3 linked regions of the Xenopus tropicalis genome follow. The protein of the gene in region 3 interacts with the protein of the main gene of each other region in a pairwise test. Links are inferred from orthologs where the notes say so. Each region holds a gene or a part of one and is shown on either strand. Other genes may lie near its edges.

The links. The genes of interacting proteins can lie anywhere in the genome.
Region 1: the proteins of lgals8 (region 3) and mid2 interact in binary tests that used the Homo sapiens proteins (3 or more experiments, as listed by UniProt). The two-hybrid records come from large-scale screens. The link is inferred for Xenopus tropicalis from reciprocal best matches to the Homo sapiens genes LGALS8 and MID2.
Region 2: the proteins of lgals8 (region 3) and apeh interact in binary tests that used the Homo sapiens proteins (3 or more experiments, as listed by UniProt). The two-hybrid records come from large-scale screens. The link is inferred for Xenopus tropicalis from reciprocal best matches to the Homo sapiens genes LGALS8 and APEH.

What each region holds. Positions count from the first base shown.
Region 1 is NC_030684.2:40,396,103-40,400,777, forward strand, and holds part of mid2 (probable E3 ubiquitin-protein ligase MID2), read right to left. Parts: intron 4,158-4,675; 5' UTR 4,110-4,157; coding exon 3,450-4,109; intron 1-3,449. UniProt on the Homo sapiens protein: E3 ubiquitin ligase that plays a role in microtubule stabilization. Mediates the 'Lys-48'-linked polyubiquitination of LRRK2 to drive its localization to microtubules and its proteasomal degradation in neurons.
Region 2 is NC_030680.2:125,911,249-125,915,923, reverse strand, and holds part of apeh (acylamino-acid-releasing enzyme), read right to left. Parts: intron 2,657-4,675; coding exon 2,527-2,656; intron 2,080-2,526; coding exon 1,953-2,079; intron 1,551-1,952; coding exon 1,460-1,550; intron 443-1,459; coding exon 367-442; intron 1-366. UniProt on the Homo sapiens protein: This enzyme catalyzes the hydrolysis of the N-terminal peptide bond of an N-acetylated peptide to generate an N-acetylated amino acid and a peptide with a free N-terminus. It preferentially cleaves off Ac-Ala, Ac-Met and Ac-Ser.
Region 3 is NC_030681.2:41,512,892-41,517,566, forward strand, and holds part of lgals8 (galectin-8), read right to left. Parts: intron 3,709-4,675; coding exon 3,620-3,708; intron 1,617-3,619; coding exon 1,406-1,616; intron 834-1,405; coding exon 714-833; intron 1-713.

The DNA.
Region 1 (4,675 bases), on a different chromosome or scaffold from region 3:
AGTGTATATACAAGCTGTATGTATGAATTTCACAGAGGCACTTCTCACACATTCTATAGACATCTGTCACCGTCAAAGCTGGCATTCCAACAACAGATGTGCCCATTCTAATTGTCCGATTGGCTGCTTGCGCTAGTGACATCAATATCCAAGTACAGGTATAATACCTGTTATCCAGAATGCTCGGGACCTGGGGCTTTCTGGATAAGAGATCTTTCCGTAATTTGGATCTCCATACCATAAGTCTACTAAAAAATCATTTAAACCCAACAGGATTGTTTAGCTTCCAATAAGGAATAATTATATCTTAGTTGGGATCAAGTACAAGGTTCTGTTTTATTATTACAAAGAAAAAGGAAATCGTTTTTAAAAATTAGAATTATTTGCTTATAATGGAGTCTATAGGAGATAATTCAGAACTTTTGGGATAATGGGTATCTGGATAAAGGATCCTATACCTGTACAGGTACAGGGACTGTTATCCAGAAGTATTGGGATTTTCCCAATAGGGGGTTTTCAGTAATTTGGATCTCCATACTTTATGTTTACTAAAAAAAAAAATAATAATTTAAACTTTAAATAAACCCAAAAGGACTGTTTTGCCTCCAATAAGGATTATTTATATCTCGGTAGGGATCAAGTACAAGGTACAGTTTTATTATTACAGAGGAAAAAGGAAATAATTTTTATACATGTGAATTATTTGATGTAGTCTATGGGAGATGGCCATCCCATAATTTGGAACTTTATGGATACCGTGTTTCCAGATAACGGACCCCATATCTGTACAATACTGTGATGGAAGAGATTCCTTATGAGCATCATTTTGTATTTGTGCAGAATTCAGGAACATGTTGCCACTTCCCACAGGACCACAGTTTTTCACTGTACTGAAAAGAAACACAAATCTCTACAATGTATTAAAGCCAATGTCTAGACAAGATATACTGCTATAATCACTGCTGTAACTACTTTCTTTTATCATGAGGATAAGGGGTAAGGGGTCAACAAACTCTATGAATGCTGTGAGATTATTTCTAAGGAAATACTAAAACATAAAAATGAATATGGCTATATTAAATACTGAACTTACTGCCCCAGCATAAAGTTTCAGAATCTCAATAGTAGCTTTGATTCAGGTCTTGGATTTTTGGATTCTGTTAAAAGTGTCAGTGACACTGCACATGCTCAGTGTGTTCTGAGGAGCTGTTGAGAAGCTAAACTTAGGGACCATTGCAAATTATCAAGCAGAAAATAAGGTTTGTCTGTCATATAAGCTGATGCTACAGGGCTGACTATTGCATTCTGATGCAAATTGCACTGGTTACAGAGCCTCCGTGTAGTAATTACCTGTATTTATTGCTAATAAGCCTTATATTGTGACATTTATAATTGTGTATATACAGAATATTGTGAGTCAGTCCCTAAGCTCAGTAAGTGACAGCAGCACAGAGCACGTGCAAGGAATTAGCAGAAAAGAAGATGGGGAGCTACTGGGGGCATCTTTGTCTCCTCACTGTCTATGATCTCCAACTATATTTATAAATAGGAGAGAAAAAATGTAACTTGAAATGCAGGATTTATTGGAAACTATAGCTACAGTAAATACAAGTTGTCCTGGTGCAAAATATCCTTTGTATCAATCATAAATATGGTTTCCACTGTCACCTTATTTGACAGTTCACTTACCACGGTCTAAAGGAAATAGCACTAATATATAAGACAAGGGGGTACAATTGGCTTTCCTGTATACACAATAGACAATAACATCAAACTTCATGAAATAAATAATAGCAGCAAACATGAGGGCTCATTTGAGAACGGAAACACAGTGAGCGGGCCACAATGGGCCATTTCTTTGCATTTTGTACAATTTCAGCATTCACAAATTGCCACGGGCCTCTGTGTTCCATTTTACATCCTAACGCTGTGCTTTTTACTGAGCGCCAGATTTTATCCAGCACTCGGTGCAGTTCACAGTGTGGGGGGGGAAGCTTCGTTCTTGGTCCACTCAGTGGTTTTGCAACTGCGCCTCCTGGATGTAACCTTCTCCCTCCCTTTTGGGTTCCTCTGCATTAACAAAACATGGTTTGTATAATTGGGTTCATCTGACCTTTCGGACCCTGGCCAAACAAAAAAATACAATGCTGAGGCCTATGGAGACCGATCAGGAGACCATGTCCACCACTGAAACCTGCCTAATAAATGTCTGGCTCATATTGTTCAGACAGGCTTTTGTTTCGACCCCACATGGGCTAGTTATAAGCTGAGCATAGCCGAGATAGCAGGCAATGTTGTCTGGCATATAGTGAGCATAACAATGGATGGTCACCAAGGTGTCTTGGTGACAAGTCAAGAAATACTTTTTTGATTGGGTTCTAAGGTGTTAAGCAACAACAGATAAAGATCATAGAAGAAAATATAAGAATAGTACTAGATCACAAAGCTACAGTCACCAGAGCCAATAGGATATGGGTATTGTTCTGATTAGAATGAAAGTGGAACTCTGGTTTCCGAACCAAAATTTGCTTAAGTGCCCCATACAACATAGAAACCCCTAATATACCTATAACTGTAATCTGTTCCTTCAAACAGTATGAATAAAACCATTTTTTTTTAAACTGTTCTTCCCTTTCTGCATCATCTGAAATCCTGGCAGGGGAGGAGGGACTAAAACACGGATGTTACAATGCAACAACTTCTCTACAGCTTAAAGACAGTATGCAGGAACAACAATGCATTGAACTGTGATGCTCCTTTCTTTATTGACATCACGTGTGCGGGGAATTGTAGGATTTGAAAAATGCTGGCTGAGGCAGGCAGTGGACAGCTGACTACTGTTACTGTCTCAAAGTAGTCAGGCAGGTCAGCAGGAGAACAGCGGCCAGGCTTAGGTAACTGTTCAAAACCATATTATTACATTAAAATGCTGCATATTTGTTTAATTGATGTATTTTGCAAAGTTGCTTGAAATTATGTTAACTTTTCAAAAAACTTTAAGTTGTGTTTGGGTGGAATTCCAGTTACTCAAGCAGATACAAACAATTTAGACTTTATCAAAATACACAAATGCAGAACAGAAAATAAGAATGGGCATATCTCTGATAAATACCCCAGTATCTGCTGTGACTGCATTTCATTACCCCATTATATTGCACTGATCGAGATATGAATTCATTCTGAGTCTTCACATATTAATAAACAGGAGTTATGGCAAAGCCTTGGCTCCTGTGAGACAAGCAATGTGGAATAAATACTCAGGCAACATAAGAAGTGACAATAAGAAACTCAAGGATAGTGTAATAGGTATGGGAACACACGGTATTAGGATTTATTGGGGGTGCTCGCAGGATATAGGGCAATAAAACCAGCACTAGAGTGAGTTATAAACTTTATATGAAGTATTTTACAGTTATTGGTGTTGAGTAAATACTCTCTCAGTTTCTTACCTTGAGTTTTTCATATCTGTCACTTAAAGAAGCCACCTGGTGCTCTCTGTGCCTACCAACCAGTTTGCATAAGGCACAGATAAGCTGATCGTCTACTGTACAGTACATATTGACTTTCTCATTTTCATGTTCTAGACAAGCCAGGCCCCGAAAGTGACCGTCTGGAATTGGTTCCACCAGTCTGTGGCTGGTAAAGGGCTTTTTATTGGGGTGAGTTGCCCTCAAACACCGATCACAGTAGGACACCTCACAGGTGATACATGTTTTCACGGCATCCCTTGGTGGCTCTGTCTCACAGAACTGGCACGGGATCCTTTCGGAGGCCATAATGGGGACAGTCCTATAGATTTTTTCCCTGTGATCGTCACTAGGAGAGTTGGGAACACTTAAAGAAGCCTTCTGAAAGCGATCAATAATGTTCTGCAAGGTAACGTTGCGTTTTAAACCTTCCAGACCGCGGTGATTTAAAGATATAACATATCTGCAAGTCGGACACTGAAAAGCTGGTACTGGCTCCGCTATTTCGTTGGAAGCACATCCGGAAGTGAGAATACGGTGGGCACAGCTGAAGCACAAGCTATGGGCACAAGGGAGAAGCAGCGGGTCCTCAAATAACTCCAGGCAGATTGGACAGGTCAGTTCTGACTCCAGTGTTTCCATGTTTAGTTGAACATTTGGCTTAGAATGAGACAGGGCTGTTCCATTCACCTGCAGGAAAACAACAGGAATTGCATTTTAAAACTCTCCACAGATAATAAATCAATCACGCCGGCTCAGTGTACCCGTAGGGGTAATTACCAGACACATGCAGATAGTCACAGGATGTTCCATGTAATCAGGAAATTAAAAGCTCACATTTAAGGGAGCCATACAGGGATTGATAAAAGCTGCAGACACACTGAGTTGGCAGCTGACTGGGCCCTGTATGGGGCCCTCAGATGGGCCTACCCGACTGGTTTCAAGACTGTTTTCAATTCTATAATCTATTGAGTCTTTGCGATTCAAATAAAAAAGCAAACAATACAGTTTTTAGTTTTTTTCAAATAAAAAACAACTTGAAAATTCACAACCTTGAATTTTGATAAATAGGCCCAGGGGTGGTTTACCTTTAAGTTAAATTTTAGTATATTACGGAATGCCCGAAAGTTGCCTAGCAACTTTGCCATTGGTTTTCATTATTTATAGTTTTTTAATTATTTGCCTTTCTCTTCTGCCTCTTTCCAGCT
Region 2 (4,675 bases), on a different chromosome or scaffold from region 3:
TGCGACATGCCTGTTGGATGGGAACGCATCTGCATCCAATAAGATAAAGTCTGAAAGACTTTTGTTACTCATTGAAATACACTGGCTGTCGCATTTAGATGCAGGAACAAAACTCACCATCTGACTTTATCTGAGCTGACTTACATTACAGCTGTGATGATCAAAATCTGATAAAAATTTCCTGTGTGCCCATACCGTTCTGCGACTTTTAAGCAATGGACATTGTAGTCAGTAAATTTATGTTCACAGGTTATGTAATGTTTAATTTTACTTTTATATATAGGGTTTAAATTTAGTTTTGTATTGGTCAAAATCATTAGCTGATTATTTAGTCATTATTTAGTCATATTTAGTCATTATCCTTACCATCCTCATACACCTTTCCATGCTTATCCAGCGCTGTCAGGTTAATGCTTTTCACCTTGCGATTCCGTTCCCAAATCTGGAGAAAAATAACTGTATTTATTATCTTGTACTCACCTGTTTTTTTCATTCATTTTTTTCATTCTGTAATATTGTGTGGCAGATCTAGTGAGTATATATCAGCCCATGGGCCCTAAATTTTATGGAATTTCATGGGGACACCTCCCTTAATGACCAGTAGCTGCTCCACCCTACAGATATTGTGCACTGTTTGTTACCAGGTGAAGAAAGCAGGAGGCTCCAGTTTTGTGTAATTAACCTTTTGGCCAGCAAAAGTGCTTCTAGGAGGAAAAAAGTTTCATACTGGTTCAGGTTTAAGTCCTGCAGTAACGTACAAAACGTGGGCATTCCAGGTATATTGGTCTGAAGGACTGTGTCTAAAGCTGGCCATACACAGTAAGATCCGCTCGCTTGGCGCCCTCTTCTCCCGATATCCCCACCTAAGGATGGGCGATACTGAGCTAATTTGGTCTAGTTAAAACAGCGGGTATAGGGCCCGTCGGTTCAGGGACTGCATCAACGAATCAATGTGGTCCCCGATCTGATGGAAAAATCAAACCTGCCTGATAGAGATCTGGCGGATTTCAAGTCTAATGTTGGTCAGGGAGGCCTGTCGTTTGTTCCCGTACACCAGCACATAAGCTGCCAAATTGGTCTTAAGGACCGACATCAGCAGCTAGAATTGGTTGTGTATGGCCCCCTTAAGGGATCAATTATTTTCATCCAATATGAGGTTATCCGAGCATAACTCCATATCATATGTATGAAAGTCCCACTTGTACACTGCGGGTGCATAAATCGCAATATCAGGGTTAATATGGTGTAGCCTTACCGGGATATGATACGCCCTGTCAAAAGTGTATATTTGGATTAAACATAGCCTGTAATTGGGCAATACCAGTTGAGAGGCTTCCTAAACTTATTGCCACTCCTCATCCAGGACAGTGCCCACATCAGTTTTCCGTTTACAGCAGAGGTACTCTGTACTCCCTAGATTAATGAGCTGGTGATGGAGCCCTATGAATTTCTCTCTTACCTCTAGGAACTGAGTGTCCTCCCCTTTGATGTTTTTAGTTTCCCGCAAGACAGCTTTCAGGGTTCCAGAAGGGGACTCCTTGCTGAGAAGTCTGGTGAAATAGGCAGAGTGAGTCTTTAGGAAGATATCTCCAAAAACAAGCATACCCGACCTACCCTTAACATGATCCCTACAAACACCTCTTCAATGCAGGTATTAATTGCATACATGTACCCTGTAGTTCAAGCTTCCGTCCAATGACGTGTAGTTCATAAGAGTAGGATGTACTTGCTGTAAGGTGTTGAAAAGCATGTATAAAAACAAGTATGTTTTTACTTTACTCTAAACAAGCATTTAGAGATGTACATTTCTGCACTTTCAACTTCCATACGTTAATGAGCCCTAACATGCTGCAACACTTTCAGAAATGTTCCCAAACAAAGCCATATTTGTCCCTTATGCCCACAGATCCCCTTTAACTTCAGGCATTCCTCCAATCCAGAGGTCTACTTACTCGCCCTTAATTTCACTTCCATTTCCACAAGCCCCAGAATATACAACAGTATTATTGTCATGAAAAACAATGTACTGTCGGCAAAACTTCACTTGTTCGCTACGATCCAGATCTCTCTGTGACCATTCTGAGAAAGAAAACAGCAACAGAATTACAATAGGAATAGTCATCTCAGACCAAAGCAGCACAGCCAAGACCTGTTATAGTATATCTATATATAAAGTGCCATGCAAAACTATTCAGACGCTTAACCAATTCTCACATTTTACAGAGAAATCTGAAAAGTACTTATCAAGATCCAAGCTGTGACTGGGCCACTACACATCCTGTGCATTTTTATTCTAGAATCACACCATTTTTATTTCACCTTGTGTTTGGGATCATAGTCCTGCTGACTTTGGCCCATGCATCAGTTCTTTTGCAGTACATGTATTACCCTGTCTTGATGCCCAAACCCTGAAAATAGTTAACCTGTACCTACAGTAAAGTATGATGGTGGTGCTGGTTTAGAGCAGTTGAAAAGTCTGTACTTCTGTTTGCAAATACCGTACCATATACTAATCTATTTGCTTACCTGTGTAGATATTGCTGTATTTTCCCCCATACTGTGTGGTGACTTCAGGGCCTATAGACACACTAGACAGAGATGGAAACTGACTGAATTCCCGGTACAAGGCAGCAATATCCTTTGGTTTTCTGAGAATCTGAGAACAAATAGGCAGTTAGAGAATATTAGTAATAAAGAGCTAATTAAATATTGCATGGAGGCAATAGCTAGGGCTCATTGTTCTAGTTAACTGAGCATCAAATAAGAAGAATTCACAACTTAATTTTCTAACTACAACATCAAGATTAGACTTCAACGAACATTTTAAATACAGAAATACATTTCAGATTACCTGTATCAAGCCCCGAACAAAAACAAACTGCCTTCCATATACTAAGTCATGGTGCATGCAGATAAAAATGTATTATTCTTATGCAGATCTCTGTACACAAACCCAAAGCAATACATTTTAGTTGTATTATTATTATTATGCATTAGAGCATATTGGATGTCAAATGAACAGAAAGCATGTCTGGGAGAGTTAATGCTTATTGTTTAAAGACCCAAAAGGGAATGTAATTGACGTTAAAAATATACATAAAGGTACCTGAGACACAAGGTCGTACGGTGGTGGGGCAGGGTACACATGGTGGTGGACAAAGGTCTGCCAATTCAGAGCCCAGCGTTTAACACAAAGGGCAACACTTCGCCGAATTACCTATTAAAGTACATATCACAGCTGCAACTGTAGCACATCAATAGAGCTTCCCCTACGACTACACTTAAAGCATTATCCAATTTCACGTGTTTCAGTTGACACCACCATGACTGAAGGTATTACAGCAAAAACTTTAGCATCTAGAATGGTTTTTAGGGAATCTAATAAGTTTTGGTGAGGCGGGCTAACATTTAGCTACCAAAGTGGTGGGCTTAATAGGCCTGATCCAATAAATTAGCCCTCCAGCCACTGATCTACTCCTATTTAGACTTGAAAGAAGACCACATCTGGGTTCAATGGTCCATTCATTCTGATCAATATCTGAATTGTCTTTAAGGAGATAAAAGGTAAAAACTAAGTAAGCTTTATCAGAAAGGTCTATGTAAATTTACCCAATAGCACTCACAGAAACGCTGCACTATCCTTTATCAAAAGAAACACAGGATTTCTAGTCTTCTTTCTTTGTTAACATGGTGTTAGGGTATCTGACTTTCTCAGAAAATCATTCATTCCTGTATCTGCAGCAGTTCTCTCCTCTCTCCCATAAGAATTCATAGAACTCACTCCCCCCACACTTAGGAATGTGTAATCTGAGCTAGAGCTGGGCGGTATGACCAAAAATTTATATCACGGTATTTTTCAAAATTATATCGGTATCACGGTATTTGACGGTATATAAATAAAAAAATAAATAATAAATATTGGTGCCCCCCCCCCCAACAAGCCCAGCCCCCCCCCAACACCAATAGTAAGAAATCCAAGTCTGGCTTGGGACTCCTCCAGTTACATGGGAGTAGGAGAAACAATAGGTTAGCTGAAAGTAGTTCTAATGTGTAGCGCTGGCTCCTTCTGAAAGCTCAGACTCAGGCACAATGCACTGAGATGGCGCCTACACACCAATATTACATTTGTTGGTTCAAGAATAAGATTCTAAATAGCAGAGTGAATTATTTGCTATGTAAACAGTGTAATTTAGAAATAAAAAGTACCCCATAAAACTCATGACAGAATCCCTTTAATTTCTTAGTTATAGATTTGATTGAGAACTGCTAAAAACATTTTTAATCGAGGTCCAGTCATATAATGCTAGTATTTATATTTATTCTGTTGGGATTTAAAAGCAATTATGTATGTATTACACATGCTCACTGCTCACTGCTTCGAAGCAATGCATAGGAAAACAGCATTAATAAAGTTGTTAATCATACATCTTCAATTAGCTTATTAATTGACATCTGTCCTTTAATTCTAGGGTCACTAAAAGTAGCCAAAGGCCATCAGATTGGAACTTCAAATGCTCCTATAAAGTAATATAGAAACTATTAATCAACTGATCATGGGCACGAAGATAAAAGATTACTGATAAGGTTGGCTGAAATGCAACATCTGTGTATTTTCACCTAAAAATTATTTGCCAGTTGCAAAAGCACCAAGGGCTACAAAACTGTGGTGCTTATA
Region 3 (4,675 bases):
ACCCCAGGGTATTGTAAATGACCCCTCACTTTTAGTAGCAAGTTATGACTTAAAGTGCACATATAACCCTGTATTTGTTTCCCTTACAAGAGGTGCAAGCTAATAAGGCCCACATTCAGGTTAGGGAAAACAATAGCAGACAGCCTGTTCCAATATTTTTCGATTTCATTAATACAAGTCCTGCAGCATGGCTTCCGAGAAGGAGGCCTTGAAAACCAACCAAATGGACAAACCCTAAAGAATAGGCTGAGATGGGCTAAAAGAAGCCAAAAAGCCCACAACAATGCATAAAATGCAGTAAAAACCTTCCCAAAACAGGAGGTATTATCTTTACATGCTGTATGCTACATATATCATTACCTTGAAACCAAAAATGAGAGGCTTTAACCAGGGTGGAAACATGCAAATAAATACTGCATGGGGGACAACTGTGTTACGGGTGGCTGCTATATTCATGTCAGGAAAGCATCAGCCACCATGAAACCATGTGCATTCACTCACTGTTGCTAAAACACAGGGTGTAAAACCTCATTACATCCACTGCATGGGCATTTTTCTATTTCTACTGCATTTATTACCTGCTATTTGGGGGAATACTGGTGACAAAGGACAATGGTAATGGATAAGTTACATACATGTGCTTCACAAATACATGCAGGTATGGGCACAATTAACCCATTCCTATGGGTGGAAATATATGTATTCATACTTACTGGTTGAGATAAAAATCCAATTGAATTAATCTTCACTTTACCAGATATACCCAGCGTATCAACTTTTTCTAGACCGATTCTGTGTTTATAGACAAGTAAGTTTTTTCCATTTGAAGACACCTATACAAAAAATACAATACAATATAAGTACTAGAGAAATGTAGCTAGTGCTAGTCTTATCACCTGCTCACTAAAATAGCAAAGCAATCCCAGTATATGGCAACAGTGTTTAGTAGTATTATTATTTTTTCTTAGACACACATTTACAAATTGCCAACCAATTCCACATCACTGTATGACAAAATTTTAGTTATTTATTCCGCCAGCAAGTCTGAGCGAATGGTTTTTTCATGGTTTTTCACTTCCATTTGTAATTGAACCTAATATGGTGCCCCTGTTGATAGGCTGAATACAAGCACCAATTTTCCTACTTGCTTGCACATAATAAATGCAGTAGCACACACCTTGAGTCAAGTTAACTGAAAAGGAGTTAAAATTGCAAATAAAAAAATAATTTTCCTTAAAATGTCCTCACACGTATAGAGATCTTATTCCTTGCCCCTGTATTCTTCCCATCTTACAATATAAGGAATCAATTATGTTTATACTCAAACCACTTAAAAAAGGAACATACTTAGAATCAATGAACAGAGATTTATCATATTATTTGTGTAAGACAAATCTGAACTCACCTGAAATTTATGGTGAAAAACCAAAAATATAACTTCAAATGGTTGCCCCTTTGTAAATGGCAAGTGGTATGTTTTTTCCTCCCATCCCCATTTTTCATTTTGTAGGGTGTTGCATACAATGTGTCCGGACCCTTTAAAGCGAGGGTTGAAGTGAAAAGCCACATCAGAACGAGGATGGATGCTGCTTCCACACTGGAAGTCTATCTGAAATCTAATATTCAAAATAAATAAATAAAGCATGTAATTTTATTTATATTATCCTAAAAGCCATTTTTCAGATATTAAACTAAGGATTCACCGAATCCACTATTTTCAGATTTGGCTGAATCCTACTCCTGTGTTTTTGTGACAAAAAGTCACATTATTTTAAGGATTCAGGCAAATCCTGCTAAAAAAGGCTGAATCTTGGCCGAACCCCGAACCGAATCCTGGATCCCTATAGTAAACTAATAGACGTGTTTTACTTTTAATAAATATACCACTATGACTATAAAAACATTCTCAGCACTATACTTGCAATCAGTCCTCAACCAACCAGCTCTCTATACATACCAGAGCTGGACTCCATTCATTCTTCTCCCAAGTTGCTAGTGCTGGGGTAAAGAGCCAACAGGGTAAAAGAAAAAACAAAAACATAACATTTTTTACATCCTATCAGCCCCCTAATGCTGCTTTTACGCTGTTCATATTAGCACAGTTACTCATATATTAGTCAGAACCCACTGACACTGCTCTGTGGCCAACAGTGACAAGTGGTAAGTCTGCTGTACAACAGCCACAAGTGGTAAGTCTGCTGTACAACAGCCACAAGTGGTAAGTCTGCTGTACAACAGCCACAAGTGGTAAGTCTGCTGTACAACAGCGACAAGTGGTAAGTCTGCTGTACAACAGCGACAAGTGGTAAGTCTGCTGTACAACAGCGACAAGTGGTAAGTCTGCTGTACAACAGCGACAAGTGGTAAGTCTGCTGTACAACAGCGACAAGTGGTAAGTCTGCTGTACAACAGCCACAAGTGGTAAGTCTGCTGTACAACAGCGACAAGTGGTAAGTCTGCTGTACAACAGCCACAAGTGGTAAGTCTGCTGTACAACAGCCACAAGTGGTAAGTCTGCTGTACAACAGCCACAAGTGGTAAGTCTGCTGTACAACAGCGACAAGTGGTAAGTCTGCTGTACAACAGCGACAAGTGGTAAGTCTGCTGTACAACAGCGACAAGTGGTAAGTCTGCTGTACAACAGCGACAAGTGGTAAGTCTGCTGTACAACAGCGACAAGTGGTAAGTCTGCTGTACAACAGCCACAAGTGGTAAGTCTGCTGTACAACAGCGACAAGTGGTAAGTCTGCTGTACAACAGCCACAAGTGGTAAGTCTGCTGTACAACAGCGACAAGTGGTAAGTCTGCTGTACAACACACTTGCATGCAGCTGCAGTCTTTTGTTTAGCAGCCAGCAATTAATGTTGTGTGTGTTGGGACCACTGGCCATAATGATTGTGCAGAATATTAACCAATGCAGCACTGACACTGAAACACTCAGATGTGGCACACATAGCAACAGTCTAGCATATACAGTTACACAGAGGCAGTGTAACATACACACTCAGAGACATATGAGCTTAGAGTTAAACAGAGTGACACCTACAAAGACACACTACCGTTAGCACAAGTATATGCATTAGAGTGAAATGATTTCATTAGAATTATCATGATAGAAAGCGTGCTAATTCACTTTGCATAAGCTAAAAGGGAAATTGGGAAAGATTATTGTTGTATTTATTAACCTTATTATGCCAGAACTGGTAATACTTTTATATGGAAGTATTTGGGGTTTTTTTTTAGATCAATAGGAAAGAAAAAGGATTGTGAGAGCTGAACTTTGGATTTGTTCCTCTTGACTTTTTTCTACTTACTTACTTTGGCTACTTATTTACTTCCAACGCCGGAGGGTACGGTTCCCCCCAACCAGAGTGAGGACTCTATTAGCCAGCACCTCTGGTGGGGAAGCGTTTTTCGGGTTATATGTGCCCTTTAATGACAACCATTGCTTATTGAACACACGGGGCAGATTTCAAACTTCAAACAATATTTTCTGTCCAAAATCGTGTGACACTTGCCTAACAGTCTTTTTTTATTTACATTTTTCTGTAGAATTAAGTGTTAAAATATGAAATTGATATCCAATACTGTAAGGCATTTGCACAGTATCATGGCTTACCGATCTGCATCAGAAGGAACAGTCCCATGTACTACAACCATCTGTCCTGGTTCCAGGCCACCAAAAATTGTACCCACGTAAGGTACAACCTGCAAAACATAGTATTGTCATGCAGTTTCCAGTTCTTTTCTGACTGATGTTTTACAAGTAGACTGAACAAAAAACACATCACCATGGGCAACCAGTTAAATCATTCCTTGAAGTATACTATGATTCACATACCCATCTGTTTGGAGCCTTTATTTACTAGCAATAATTTAACTTAAAGCAATACTGTCATGAGAAAACATGTTTTTTTCAAAACACATCAGTTAATAGAGCTTCTCCAGCAGAATCCTGCATTGAAATCCCTTTTCAAAAACGCAAACGCAGAACAAAGGGAGGGTAACAAGATAGCAGCTCCCAGTAGATATCAGAATAGCACTCAATAGTAAAAATCCAAGTCCGGCTTGGGACTCCTCCAGAAACAATAGGTTACCTGAAAGCAGCTCTAATGTGTAGCACTGGCTCCTTCTGAAAGCTCAGGCACAATGCACTGAGATGGCTGCCTATAAGCCAATATTACAAGTAATAAAAAGTGAATTATTTGCTATGTATACAATGTAATTTAGAAATAAAAAGTATACCATAAAAATCATGACAGTAACCCTTTAAGACATTTCTCATAGTTCAGCTTTTTAGCACTAGGGGATGTATCTGACAGGCCCACTACTCACAAACTGTAATGCAAAGATCTCCCATGGGCTAACTAAAACATGCAGAAGGCTTCAAAGAAATCAAGTTGATCTAGTATTTCCTAGTTGTTCTTACACTGGATCTGTACTTCCAGCCAAGGCTTTTAAACACACTGGCTACTATGTGTTCTTCAGTCATAATCTGTTCTTCAGACAATATCAAAATCTGCCTTTCACTTCCATTCAAACATTTACATTAGTAATCACTAGGGTGGTTTGTTTTTTATCATAGTGAATATTTTCAGTGTGATAATGCATGCACACTTGTGCAAAAGGGTGGTTCAACTGCAGGTTAACTTGTAGTATGCTACAGAATGGCCTA